Linked DNA regions of Struthio camelus. The protein of the gene in region 2 purifies or fractionates together with the protein of the main gene of each other region. This does not show direct contact. Links are inferred from orthologs where the notes say so. Each region holds a gene or a part of one and is shown on either strand. Other genes may lie near its edges.

Region 1 (7,516 bases), about 140 Mb from region 2:
TGAATATAAGAAGGGAGGGGTCACTTTTTATCCTTTTCTGTAATGTTTCTAACAGTAGCAAAAAAAGCCTTATTGTGCAGTAATGCTACTTACAGACGTAATCAGAACAGCATTTAGTATGAGGAAATCCTACTGTGTTATATTCCTCCTACTTACACCACAGTATTTCACACAATAATATATTACTATGACAAATTATCGTTCCTACAGTTTTTCTCTGCACTGTTTGTGCATTCAGGGTTCTGAGAATTAAAAAAAAAAAAAGTAAAAGTGTATTGAAAATAAAATATTTCATTATAAACTTAAGTTTAGCATTACTTACAAAATAGTCACCTAGATGCTTACTGTAATCCTGACAGCAAGTAAGAGGATTCAATTCCTAATTTTGTATTGAGTTTGAGACAGAAAATAAGCTATTCAAAATAACCCTTCAAAAGGCACGCTAGAGTATTGTATAAATATTTTTTAAAACCTTTTAATTGCATAGAAGAGTTCTTTTTACTCTCCCATACAAGAAATAAAAGGAAACAAAAAATCTAAAGTTTATACCAGCAGGGAAAAAAAGATGACAAGGAATATTAAATATTTAAGGATTGAAGGCAAATTAAAAATAAAAGTCAGCTTTTTAAAAATATTGTCATTGCTTAAGTACAGCTATTACTTAAGTTATAGAGGAACACAGAGGTTATTTTTAAAAACTAAAGGGATACTAGAAAGTATTTCTAAAAACAGTGTGCAGTGTAGAGCTATCGCTCCTACCTTAGACAATGAGATCATCAAATTGCATAGGTGGCTTACACTGCATTGCCTAAAAGTGCAACATTAGATAATTACTTGTTTCTGAGCTATTGTTTTGAGTTCTTAAAACTAAAACTTAAGATGAGTATACTAAAGAAATTACATTATAAATGAATTGTTGCTCAAAATTCATCTTCCAAGTATTTAATATTTTGCTTTTATGAATTTTCACCTTAATATTCAGTTATATCACAGTTAAGTCGTTGTTTTTAAAGACAGTGATGTTATAAATATTCATCGTGTAAGGATTCCTTTTTTTCTTTAAAGTAAAACTCAATTTTTAGGACAACAGTCTGGAATTTAAAGCACAAAGATGATTAAGTATACAGTTAGAACATGGTTTCAGAGAAGAACTAGTGCCTGTTTGAAAGAAAATAAAGCAAATATTAACAATATCCTCAATTTCACAGATACTAGTACCATCCTCCCTTCTTGGGTCATTACCTTCACAAATAATTGGACTTGATTATTTTATTATCCTAAACAATGTGTTTCGTTACAATGAAAAGCATCTACAACCCTTGAGAATACAGCCTGACAGTGGACTTCGCCATCCAGTTCTCAACGATAACTGTCAACTGGACTATTAACACAAGCTGATTAACACCAGACAATCCACAAGCAAATGCCACAGATGTGACTACAGCAGATCTGGGATGCTCCTCTGTGGGTACAGAAGAGCATGGGGGGGAGATGGCGCTGCAACCGCTCTACCCTGTTCGGGGTCACTGGACAGGTGAGAAGCCAGGATGAACTAAACGAGTGGACACCTGAGCAGGCTAACTTCTGCTCTCCTGCAGCTCGATTACCTGAGGAGCAGCAGAAAGAAGCCTTATCGCTTGCCAATTTACGCAGCGGAGCAAAAGGCTCCGCTCAAAGAGTTTACACGGACGGGCACCACATTGTGTCTGTCTTCCCTCAAGGTGTCTCAGCACCTGCGGAGAAAGACATAACGTGGGTTTTCTGCTCGGGTGCTGGGACTTTCTAAGCAGGGAGCCAGCTCTGCCCCTAAGGCAGAGCCCTGACGGGGTGAGGGCCGCCGGGCCCCCACAGCCACGCCGTGCCCATGTCCACACACCGGGCGGACAGCGAAGGGGCGCTGCCACGGCTCTGGGAACGACCAAGGAGAGCAATAAGACAGACACGGGGAGAAGGGAGCGAAAAGGAAAGCTCGCTGCTGCGGGATCGGCCGCCCGGCGAGCATTAAGCTCAGCCGTTTCCCCCGCCGCGGGCTGACAGCTCCCACCGCCCCGGGCGCTGTCACCGCCTCAGCCCGCCCGGGGAGAAGGGGCGCAGCCCCCCTCGCTGTGGCAAGCGGCGCAAGGCGGGGGGGTGGGGGGAGGGCAAGGCGAGATGGCAGCGGACGGAGCAGCCCCGCGGGCGCCTCGCCCTCTCGCCTTCCCCCCCCACCCCGCCCCCCGACGCCCCGTCACCCTGCCCGGCCAGCGCCCTTCCCCGCCGCCTCCTCCGTGCCCCTGGCGGGCGCCGCGCTCCTCGCCGCCGCACGCCGACCCCGCGCCGGGGCAGCGGGAAGGAACAATGGGGGGAGCCCGTAGGGGGCTCGGGGAGAAGGGGGGCAGCTGGCGGCAAGCAGAGCACCGCACCGCCGCCGCTCCGCGCCCGCGGACAGGCATCCCGCGCCCCTCTCTCTTCTCCTCTCCCCCCCCCCCCCGGGGCGGGACGGGGCTCGGCTGCGGCGGGTCCGCCGCAGCCGAGCCCCGTCCCGCCCCGGGGGAGAAGGAGGGCGGAGGGAGGGAGCGGGGGAGGCAGGTCTCCAAGCGCTGCTTCGTCCCATCCGCACAGGAACCCTCCTCGCCCCGGCTGGGTCTAAGCCCCCAGGCCCGCAAGAGCCGGTTACCGCTGCCGTGGCCGCCGAGTCCTCCTGGCCGCCAGAGCCCGGCTGGCCGCTCGCGCCTTCCGTCGCCATCTTCCCGCTGTAACGGCTCCGGCGCGGAGCGCGGAGCGGAGCCGAGTGGCAGCCGCCGCCGCCGCCGCCGCCAGGCGCTTAACCCCCTCCCCGCCGGCACCAAGCCCACCGGGAGCGGGGCGCTTAACCCCTCCGGCGCCGCGCCTCACAGCGAGAGCTGCCGAAGCCCAGCCTGCCCCGTCTGCCGGCCGAGGCGAGCGACGCGCGGAGTTGGGCGACGGCGATCCAGAGGCGCTCGGGTTTCCCCTCCTTCTCGCCGCCACCCCCCAGCCGCCACCAGCCGGCCCCGCGGCAGGCGGAGGAGGGGCAGCGGGACCCCGCCGCGGCGGCGGTGGCGGCGGCGGCGGCGGAGGGGAGTGCCCAGGCCCCGCGCAGCGCCGCGCCCCGCTCCGCTCCGCGCCTCTCCCGCCCTTCCCGCCCCTGCGCCTGGGGAGTAGCGGAATGAAAAGAAAGGAATGGGAAGGGAGGAAAACAAAAAAAAGAGCTTTTGCAATGGGCTTGGCTCACCTGCCCAGTTAGATCCTTAAAGCAGCTGAAGTGTATTGGGGAAGGGGACCTCTTTACCGATACCCTTTTCTTTCTGGTGGTGCTGACTGAGGGAGTTCACTGGAAAGAGCACCTCTCCTCAGACCTCCCGTGGAGGGGCGGGGGGAGCACATTTCGGCTGACAGACCTTGCTTAGTCCTGTATTTTCCAGCGAGGCAGGCTTCAGAGCCTGTGTTACGCTGGACCTTAATCCAGGCCTAGCACTCTGGGGCCAAGTTAAAACCTTCCTGTGCCAGACAAGAGCGCACCCGGGCCTGGCAGTGCCCTTTGTCTTTCTAGACCAGTACCTGCCTCAAAGCTTGCTTGAACTCCTCCCCAGAAAGGTTTTCACTTGCTACCCACCTAGGCTGAACCGCACGTCCCCCAGCAGCTGGAAGGGGTGTTTCCCGAGGACTTGCCTCACTGCTTTTCTCCCACTCTGGGACCCCACCTAGCTAGCCATATACCAAAAACAAAACTGAATGTACCTTCCTCTAGGACCAACTCAAATCCATTCTAAACAGAATCCAGGACATTATTTATTCTACAGTCATACAACTTTTCCCACTGAGCCTTGCTTGTCTCCATGTGTACTAGGGCTGCTTCAGGTCTTGGTCTATACTCAATTCTTGGTCTATACTTGGTGCAGACAGAAAGGGACCAGCATCTTCCCTTCATTAAAGACAGCTAATGGTCCTCCAAGCATGCTGTACCTAAGGCTGTTAAGTAAAAACATGCATGAACTTTCCCCTTTACATACCCATAAGACAAACCAATGATAAACTGATAGAATGAACTTCAGCTATAATGGAAATGTTCACTGAACAGAGTGAGCAGAATTCAGTACATAGGATCCGTTACAGTGCAGATAAACTCCAAACAAATAGATGCGTTGTTTTTTTTTCCGGCATGAAAACCACCTAACTCTCTTCCTACTCAAGTTTTACACTTTTTTAACTATACTGTTTGCTAACATCCCTTCCACTGCTGAAGTTGAGAAACACCATTGATGGCACAGAGCCTAAACTGGCTTATTTTTCTCAGTTCCCCAAACTCAAATACCGTGTAATTGTTTTTTAATATAAATTTATGCTTGCTTACTTTATTGATGGCATGAAGTTCTAGGAGCATGTCATTAAGAAACTTAAGGAAAAGTCACTTATCTCCTATGCACTTTCTCATACTTACTCCCCTCCAAATGGGTTTTAAACACTATAGTGTTTTGAAATGGTTTGAGAATATCTTTTCACTTATTAATTCCTATCTACATTTATCATTTGCAGTATTTCCCTGGTATTTAACTTTTGTTAGAATCATCTGCTGACCATCACAGTAACTAGACTGCCTTTCTAACTGAGCTAGTACAAAGCATTCACATAACATCCTGTGTAAGTGCTATTTTTTAAGTCCGTCTGCATCACATGAGTGATGAAGCAAAGGCTGCACTATTTATCTCTTGCTCTGCTGAGACCATAAACTCTGAGGTTTAGCTGATATTTTATCAATTACCAAGTGAACATTTATCAAAATAATAATAATGAATATTAGATTAGTCATAGCTTACCATCTCAGGCTTGAGAATTGATCTCTCTTTCCTCATTTGAAGATAAATTTAGAAATTATTTCTGAGAGGGAAGGGGGAGTAAGTCTCAGATCTCAGCCAGCAAAAATTAATAGGATGGATGGACCAGGAAGACTTCAGCTAAAAGCCCGCCCCCATACAACTAACATCCAGCATATCATCCAAGCGTTGGAAGTAGTTTGACTTGCTGTTGTGGCAGAAAAGATCAGAGGCTTGCTTTTGAAGGAGGAATGATCTAGATTTCTTCTTTATGCTGCTAAATTAATCATCACACCATTTTGAAAATATTATTGATTTTTGTTATTGTATGAGCCTCTACTGCGTGTTTGTAATTCTTAACTTTTCCCCCCTAATGACAGCAACAAGGCTTACTGGTGGCTTGAGAGCACTGAAATCCACATTAGATATTACTAATCACTGCTGTGAGCAGATTCTCATGCTGGGTAGCAGTCATTACCACATTGTCCGTGATGGCGGCTGGGTGCAAAAGTCTGACGTTCTGCTGCATGAAGAACTCCTTCAGGCCCAGGACCATCTCTAACGTAAGAAATATTCTCCCCTTGATTGTTAACAATGTGTTACTTATTCTCTGGCTGCTCTGTTTATGCTACTGCATCCTCTCTTTCAGGACTGGCTTTACACTCTCAAAAATGTAGCATCTACGCATATAATATATGAGTTTGGAGAGATGGTCAGCCCAACTTGGTGACTGTTCCCATAATGCACTGTCATTGCTATGGCTGCATGCACAGTAAAATGTCTCTAACACATGGCCAAGCTCTAACACAGAGCCTTGCTGGCAGGAGAAATTGCCTGTGCTTTGACAGACTATTTTCTTCTATTTTATGACTACATTGAAGCAAAGGAGGTGCTTTTCTCAGAGGAAGGTGTTCCCTATTTTAGTAGTAGCTGGTAGCTGGCAAACTGAAAATAACTAACTCTTTCTCTGCTACTCCCAGTTTTACTGGGATTGAGTGACAGAAAGGAACGGCCAAGCCTAGGAGTAGGCCCTTCAGCTGAGCTTTAAATATGTTTCTTTCCTATGATTAGAGAACTGGCACGCAAAGGTGGAATGTCCACATGTTACAGGATGCAGCTGCTGTACCGAGCAGTGTGCTCACTCCCTCCATTAGCACGCAACTGCTGTGATAGAAAATGTATGGCTTGGCTTTACACTGGCAGGGAAGCAAATTGCTTTGCATCTAAATCATACAGTATATCGAGGCCTTGCCATGTTGTTACTAACTATTCTTATAAAACAAAAAATATCGAAATGGTATTTTATTCACTGTTTTCTAAAGATAAACCTGTGTCTGAGTGTAAAGCAAGTAGGAGACATTGAAGCCAAAAGGTAAATTTTTATGGAAAATGAGGTATCTGAAAAAACTAAGCAATCATTATATCACTACAATCTTTTCAAAGGTCACCCCAGTGCTAACTGAAGGCATTTCTTCTATCATCACCCTCATCTAGGGCTAATCAATCAAATTTATACAGCATAATCCAGATTACCCCATCAAGGAAATTTGGTGTTAGAGATTTGTAAGCAATACAGAAGATTCTGACAGTGAAACATTAGCTTGGGTTTTGTGAAGAAGGGGTTACTTTTTTTGGAAGATGGCACTATACGGTCTGGGTGAAATTCAATAGAAAGAGGATCAATATTCCACAAGGCATGTTTGTTGTTTCTGAGGATGTTAAAGGAACATCGAAAGGGAAGGTGAAAAGGAGATATAAAATTATACTGTTGAGAGCAAAATGGACTCTCCAGTGGGCATCAATAGAAGAGATGCTTTAACTGACTATGCACAAGGAGCATAGATAATAAATAACAAGTATTGGAATTATTGATTTGTGAGCATAAATTCAACAGTGCTGAGTATGACTATAACTCAGTGATGTGATTCACATGATTTGAATGCTGAAAACTGGTTATAATCTGATTAGAAAAGCACAAGTGGACAAAAAGAAGGGAAGACACTCTATTAAAAATGGTATTTTGTGTGTCAGCATTACTGACATCTCCCAAACAAGTTATGTTAATGTTTATGAATTGTATTTTAATATTTAAAGCATAAAATGAAGTATTAGGTAGTGTCTAATCTATGGGAGCAAATCTCCCATCATACTAAAGACCAAAGATCTTTAGCATCTTTAAGCAAGATCCTTAAGCATCTTTATAGAAAGAGAAAACTGCTATCAATGTGGCTTTACCTTGAATGACACAAAATCTCTTTCTGCCAATACTATAACATTCTAGAAATGTCTAAAAATTACAAGTGACAATTCAGGAAGTTTACCTTGAGCAGGAGGATTCTGAATGAGACTTCAGTTTAACACATGGAGAGGGAAGCTAGATCCAGCTGGACTCTTACACACCTAAAACTTGACAGTTTGCTATGCCTAACTTCTAGAAATCTGAGCCCAAAATAGAATCCAGAGCCTGAAAATGGGTACTGTCTTTGGATTTAAAACAGCGTTTAATTTGGAGGAGTCCTATAGTCTGTGTTATGCGAAAGAAGAGATCACACACTGATCTTCTTGGCCTTGAAAGCTATAAGCTTCTATTAAGCTATCAATATATTTCAAGTCTGGAATAGTTGGATTCTTGATTGTTTTCTTTCTGTTTCACTATGGGAAGAAGAGGAGCTATCCACATTTGCTGTCAAGACAAAAAAGGCGGT
Region 2 (7,619 bases):
CACAACAGTGTCACCCATGTTAGCCTGCCCTTTAATCCTTTATCCATAGGCTCTCAACTTGCTCTTCATCCACCCCGAGGCAGAGCTCCATACATTCTAGCTGCTCCCTCACATAAAGGGCAACTCCACCACCTCGCCTTCCTGGCCTGTCTTTCCTAAAAAGCACATAGCCATCCATGACAGCATCCCAGTCATGTGAACTATCCCACCATGTCTCTGTCACTGCAATGAGATCATGGCCCTGCGACCGCACACAGATCTCTAACTCTTCCTGTTTATTCTCCATGCTGCGTGCATTGGTGTACAGGCATTTCAGAGAGCCAGTCAAGCATGCAAGCTTCCCAGGAGAGGTGCAAGAGGATCCTCCATAGCCATGTCCTATGCTGTCTCCCCTGGCTGTATGCACCCGCTGGAGGCATCCTGACTTGAGCAGTGTATTACAGACTCTCCTGCCACTATACCACTCCCCTTCCCCCATCTTGCCTAGATCCGTGTATGGACTTACACTTTTATCACTTGACTGTTTAGATTCTTTAGGGATCATTTGTGAAGAACCTTGTTAAAGCTGTTTTGCATTATCTGCAAATGCAATACATTTAAAATAAAAGCATTCAAAATGAAGCTCTAAAGACAAAATAGTGAAAATTTTATTATGTGTACAAAGTACACTAATCTATTAAAAAATTATATATTTTTATACAGGTTGCTAAAAAGGTTTACTAAGTACAGAAACTGATCAGTAGAAGAAAGAAAACAGGAAAGCCTGAAGAGCACGGATAAAGACAATAAAGAAATGAAAAAAAAAATCCAGCAACAAGTTTAGCGATGAATAATCTGGTAGTATCATTTGATTAATTGTTCCACAACCTTCAAATCAAGGATGCTTGATGATTATGGTGACAGGATGCAACTGCTGCCATACAAGATGGACCAACTCCATCCTGTCTGCTGGGGAGGCTCCATAATACCATAGCCATGACTCTACTGCAAGCAATGGGATCGCATATTCAGCCCTCTCATTCTTTTCTGTTCACTATGTAAATTTGCGCCTTGTGCTATTTATCTGCATAAAGATTCCTTAATCACCATTACATTTTTCACGCATTATGTTTTTAGACAAATGCCCCATCTGTTACAATCCATAATGTTTTCAAAATATGAATACTGATTTATTTATGCTATATTATATATTACAAAGTTCAAAAGAGAGAAGCTTTTGGTACATCTTTCTTGTTGGAAAACATCAATAGTCTGACATTACTCATTTGAGAAGAAATTTTAGTCTTGGTCAGTAAGGAAAAAGGTAATTTATGAAAGGAAATTCATAGTCATTGCTGTTACAATGAATAATACTCTTCTTTCCTAACTTTTTTTCTTGTACAACCAGCAAAGCACAACATCTCTGAATATGTGAAGTACTGTTTTAAGTTGAAAGTGAATCAGGTGTTGTGAGCCAGCACATAAAATAACTTAAGTTGACTGAATTTTTGCATGTTGGAAACATCTGGCTTCAAAAAGATACAATAACAGGGAGCCAGCTTACTAATAAGAATTGTTTATTTTCAAAGTCCTTATCATTGTACTAGAATAGCAGGCTGTCCTAATGTGCAAACATTCTATTTTAAATGAAGATTTCTGCAAGAATAGCCTTTCTTTGGAATATAATATACAAGGGCTGAGAAACAGAGAAAAAATTGCAAGGCTTCTGTTATTTAGTCTATGAGGAAGAAACTGAAGGTTAGGCTAAAAAATTAGCATTTACAAAAACAACAACAACATACAGAAAAAAAAATCATTATTTTAAGATTACATTTAAAACTAGTTTGGTTAAAATTTCTCTACGTTCAGAAGAGAAGTTGGAATTGTACCAGAACATAAGATACAGTATAGAATACAGAAGTTGACAGAAATTAGGAATTCTAATACACTGTTCTTAGTTCATTAGAACTTAATTTAGACTGATATCTGCTTTGCATTTTGGATCTGCTCCTTTGTTCCCATGTTTCCTTTGTTTCCCTAACAAGTAAATCTGCTCATAGAGCTTATTCCACTGGCTCAGTCATTTGTTAGGCATAGTGTCTTGTTGAGTATGTAATGCAGAGCCATAAACTTCGGAACCTCGAAACTTTGAGGTGAAAAAAATCCATCATCTTTACTCAGTGAAGGAATATAAGCAAAAGATGGTTAAAATAGTTCAAATGATTTCACATTGGCCCTGGGCTAGGACCTTACATGGGGAAAGTTGCTTCAGATCAGCTAGAAGATGGTAACTTTTTCTGTGTATACTAATGGATAAAACATAATCGCTTTATACCTTTTCTTAATACAAAAGATGAAGCTTAGTTCTATACCCTTTGTATTTTTCACTCTGCACTGAATGTGCAAGTGCAGAAAAAGTAAGGCAGCTGGTAAAATGTGGATTGTAATGACAACATAGAATGGAGCAGAGTTAAAGCTGCATAGGTAACAGCAAACCTGACACTGTCTCCTTGGGGATTTTTAGTATTTTGTGATGTAGCTAAAGCTAAATGGTATTAATAGGACAAAGAAAAAGGCTCATCTACAGCCCACTGCCTTTCTCACTAGCAATTTAAAAACATACTACAAACAGTGGAGTAAACCATGGAGACATCAAAGATTTTTTTTTTAAATAAAGATTGCAAAAATATTTTAAGATGGAAAACAATCTAAATAGAAGGTTTGATGCCAATTCTTTTTATAAGTCTGTTATTTAATCTGATTTTTGATTGAAGTAGAACTCATCTAAATGAAAGCTTTTACATTTCTTAGGAAATTATATATTAATAAAGAGGTGAGGCATTTTCATGTTTTTGAAAGTTTACAGAATTTAAAATGTATTCCAGCATTAAGTAAACTAGCAACTCATTCATAAATAACTAATAAAAGAATTCCAGTAGTTCAAGTTTCTATACAACTTCTATCCATCATCCGTTCCATGTTTCACTGTACTCAGGCACTGATAAGTCTAGTCTAATTTCTAAGGAAAACAAGATTTATGGGATTGTGTGTGTGTGTGTGTGTGTGTGTGTGTGTGTGTGTGTGCGCGCGCGCACGCCTGTATGTGCCTGTATGAGGCTGCTGGCTAATTTCATTCACATTTCACTGAAGGGTAAAAATCTTGAAGACAGTTAAGTTTCTACAAGTTTCAGGAAGACAAGTGTGCAGCATTGGCTCAGTCCATATTAGACATACACAAAAAAAATACCGTAACTACGGAAAAAAACTTCAGTGGGAGAGCCTGTGTCTAACCAAATGTCCAAGAGACCATGTTATACTTTAAAGCTTTCCAGCAGTTACGAGATTTGTACAAACTCTCTCTAGTGGGCTACCTACTGAAAGGCAATTTACGCTACAGTGGAAGCTCACCCCTTTTCTGTAGCTCCCAAACCCACTAGAAGCTAGGCTTCATTAATTTCACCGTTCATGAAACTACCTATTCATTTGGGGTGGGGGGGAGAAAGGGAGAGAATCTCATGGCATAATTAGCATATTGCTAAATTTATGATGTAACTCTTGAATCTCAGTTTAAACTGGCCAAACACGGGAAATACAATATTAACATGTTCTTAAGGGTGTTAAATGGGTTTCCAGGGTTTCTCACGAGGAGGGGAGACGTGGACTGCTGGCCCTCTCTTCTTCCCATTTAAGAAGTACTGTAACAACATCATGACTATTATTTTGGCTTAGCTCTTTTGCAACTTCTGACAGGAAGTCAAGTGCTTCCTGAAACCATAAACCTCAGTAGGGCTATAGCATTACTGTGACCTTTCTTAAAGCGTCCAAGTGAAGGGGAGGCAGGAAAAGGACATACCAGAAAATGTCTAGCGTTTCTGCCATCTTGATCTATCATCTCACTCCGGTTTCTTTATTTTAAGCGTGCAGCCTCTCCGCCTGACGCTCATCTCGTTTCACCTGCTCTGTTTCACTGACAGCCAGGAAGTTGCTCTTGATTTCGACTGTGGGAAAGGAGAAGCAGGTCTTCGGGTTGTGTGTGTGTGTGTGTGTGTGTGTGTGTGGAAAAAGAAAAGAAAAGAAGAAAAAAAAAAAAAGAAAGAAAACCCAAACCCCCAAAGGCCGTAGCACAGGGGCCGGGCAGCCGGTGCTTTTAGCCTCGAAGACGACGCCAGCCCAGCGAGCTGCCTGGGGCTGCCGGCTCGTACTCCCGCCGCAGGGCCGGGAGCGCCGGAGGTGCTGACGGCGCTCAGGCCCGGGGCGGCGGGTCTCGTCACACCGCGCTACGTGCGCCAAACCTCCGGGCGTTTTGTCCCTTCGCCAACCCCCTCCCCGCGGCGGGGGCGCGGGCGGGCGGCCGTTCTCGTTCCGTTATTTCCCCGCTCCCCTTCCCGCCGCCGGCCGTTGGCCTCCGAGCTCGCGCGCGCGCCCGCCCGCCCGCGGGCTGGTGGGGGCGGGGCAGCGCGTGCAGGTAGCCGGGTAGGAGAGGCGGGGCGGGCGGGCGAGCATTCCCCGCCCCTCCCCCAGGTTTGTCGTCGTGTGGCGGCGGGGCTCCGCGCGCCGTCGCACCAGTAACGGCCGCTCTGCGCGCGCGGCAGGGGGCGGTTGGGGGGGGGGGAGGAGGCGGAGGCCGCCGTCGCCGCCGTTGCATCCGTGACGGGGCCAGAAGAGCCCAGGCTTGGGACAGCCCCTTTCCCACCGCCTAGCCCGCCCGCGCACAGGCGCCGCTCGCACGGGGGAAGGGAGAGAAGAAGAAGGAGGAGGAGGAGGAGGAAGAAGAGCAGCAGCAGTTTGTATGTGTGTGTGTATGATGAGCTCAGCCCCGTCCCCTGGAGGCGCCTGAGGGGACCTGACTCCCCCCACCCCCCGCCCCACTCTCTGTCGCCGCCGCCATGGCTCACTCCCCCGTGCAGACGGGCCTGCCGGGGATGCAGGTGAGCACCAACCGCCGTCCCCTCTGCTGCCGCGGACGTTGGATGGGGGATGGGCGGGTCCCCTCCTTCCCCCCCCCGCCCACCCCAAGGGCAGGCACGGACACGCACCCACGGCGAGCGGTGGGGGAGGGGAGCCAGGGCTTGGTCCTTGTATCCCTTCCCTGTATTGTCTGCCCGGAACCGGCGGGGCTCGGTGGGGTGGGAAAGGAGGGGAGGAATAGTGTGAAAGGGGTGCGGGGTCTGGGGTGAAGGGCGGGCGGGTGTGGTGCCTGGCGGTAAGGGGATGCCCTCAGGCTAGAGGGACAGGGCGAGGGGGAAAAAAATGCCTCTTCACTCTGACTCGGTCTTGAAGAAGGTGGCGAGGGGGGGTTGGCGGGGAGGAGCCGGATCTCGTAACCCCTGGAAACAAAATGTGCTGTCAGCACTTCACATAATGCATAGCAAGGTCTCTCTGCTTAGTGAATCCCTCCCTTTCTCATTGCTTAATAGCCGCTGTTTTGATGGAAGTGTGCTTGGTAACCCCCCCACCGTCCAGTAGTTCTGCCGGGCTGTTTTGATTCATGAAATGAAACTTGTCTTTAGAGACGATTTTCAGTCCCGTTATTTTGACGTGGCTAGGAAAAATATGCTCTCCATACGTAAAAACAGGGCCTGAAAACGTTGACCTTCAACGTGTGCTGCAGTGCCCATCTCGGTAGAACTGGCTAGTGGGGGTGCTGTTTGAGGTGGATGTTTGGAGATTATATTTGGCTTCTGTGTTTGGCTGTAGGAGTTGGTTAGCTGTAGCTGTTATACAGTGGGATTTGCTGTTTTTGTGTTGTAACTGTATTTTTTAAATAACTGATGTGGTTTTCTGGTGACTAAACTGGCTTTTTCCTTGTTTTCTTTTTTTTTTTAGTCCAAATTCAATAACAAAGTACTGCCAGAAGAACCTTAAGGTCTTTGGTGTTTGTGTGTTATTGTAATATTTTCTGTGTATTATTAGACACTTCCCTGTGCACCCCTCCCGCAGCCCCCAAAAGAAATACTTGTGACTGGGACATAGAGTTTTTCTGAAATTATCTTCAAGGTTAAAAGTTTTTGTGCTTCATTTGGTTTCAGTATTGATTTACTTTGGATCATTTTCCCATGAATCAGATTCTAGTTCATGAATCTTACATCCTTGCATAGCCTGAGGATTTGAATTTAAAATGTTATATTTGTGCGTAAATCAAAATAACTACTCTACTTCCCACAAACTGAGGGGAAAATGGACAACTAATAGTTAAGAGTCAGCTTGAAATTGTGTATGTTGCCACCTGCATAATGTATTTTTCCTATTCACATTCTTTGTACTCTGGCTTTGCTTTCCTTCTACCCTGGAGAGTTCTCAGCTTCTTTGTACCCTGCAAAGCTATTCATCTGCAAATATCTTTAAAATCACCCCTTATGTATTGCTTGAAAGATATGGACATTTTTTTAAAGGAGAAATTAAATGGAAAATAAACTATTTAAATGTCCTAAAGTTTGAATCATAGAAGTCATGAGAAAAAAATGTGTTTCTTAAGAAACTTCAGTAGCATGTTGAATGAATGGTTATGTCAATGCTCAGGCATATAGTACTAGATGCCAAATGAGTACATAGGCCCTCACTCTAAGTGTGTATATTTGTCACTCTGTTGAGTGTTCAAGTTCACCTTCCAAATGCAAGCAGTGTGCTCATCTCCAAAGACAGAGAGGTAACAGTTTGTTGCTAACGGTAGGGCTAGATTAATGTTGCATTTTTTTTAATACTTTGAAATATTTTAGAACCAATAACGCTATTTACTTTTTTTTTTTCAAAAAGAGTCATAGTATTTTTGAATTTAAAAAGTTGGATCTGGAGATGCTGGGAAATAAAGAGAGCAAAGTTTATTCCTGCAGTTTGCATGCAGTGCTTATATATGTGATTGCATGATCTCTCAAAAGACCTAGGTTTTCTTGGCTTATTATTTGATTTATTGTTTAATTTGTAGTACTGTTAGCTGTACTAACCGGATAGATATTCCTTTTTTTTGTTGTTAGTCCATATAATTTGGGAGTTTACTTCAGATTTTTTTATTCAATACAGTATTATTTTTCACACAAATTTTTATTGTATTCTTATGAGTGAGTTTCTTGAGTGTTTTTGAACATTAACAACTATGTAAAAAAAAAAAATAAACCCAAAACCTACAGATAAGTAGGTGCATAAAGTTCAAGGTCGGTAGTGTGAAAATTACTTGCTAATTTTCTTGCCCAGTAAAAGATGTCTAGATTTGTTCCCACTTTGCCAGAGTGTATAGCAATTTTATAGTGTTTGGTTTTCAGTACATGATTCTCTTTGACTTTATCTGCAGATGAGTGCTCAAACTGTGTACCGTTAAGTACATATAATTTGTCACAGCTACTTAAATAAAGCAAAGTTTATGGTTTGTGACTTTTCATTATGTAACAGAGAAAGGAACAGAACTCAGTTCTCTGGAGCGTGCTTAAGTTGCCTAAATGACGGGACTGTATTTTCTTCCTGTACTGTGATCCCTTCTCCCCACCAGCAGATTTTGCAACAAATCTTGGAAGTAATGTCAGTGAGAAGTTATACAGCTTTTTCTGGTGTTTATTACTGTCCTTACATAAGAGGGCAATCAAGTGTAAACAAGAGTCAGTTCTTGACACCCCAAAATCCCATGTTGGGACAGTGCCTTGTTATGCTGT

Evidence for each region.
Region 1: the proteins of STK24 (region 2) and CTTNBP2 purify together in Homo sapiens (affinity purification with mass spectrometry; 3 studies listed by BioGRID and IntAct, with this or other methods). This does not show direct contact. The link is inferred for Struthio camelus from reciprocal best matches to the Homo sapiens genes STK24 and CTTNBP2.

The regions. Positions count from the first base shown.
Region 1 is NC_090942.1:28,493,506-28,501,021, reverse strand, and holds the start of CTTNBP2 (cortactin-binding protein 2), read right to left. Parts: upstream 3,056-7,516; 5' UTR 2,726-3,055; coding exon 2,657-2,725; intron 1-2,656. UniProt on the Homo sapiens protein: Regulates the dendritic spine distribution of CTTN/cortactin in hippocampal neurons, and thus controls dendritic spinogenesis and dendritic spine maintenance.
Region 2 is NC_090942.1:164,904,939-164,912,557, forward strand, and holds the start of STK24 (serine/threonine-protein kinase 24), read left to right. Parts: upstream 1-4,573; 5' UTR 4,574-4,865; coding exon 4,866-4,907; intron 4,908-7,619. UniProt on the Homo sapiens protein: Serine/threonine-protein kinase that acts on both serine and threonine residues and promotes apoptosis in response to stress stimuli and caspase activation.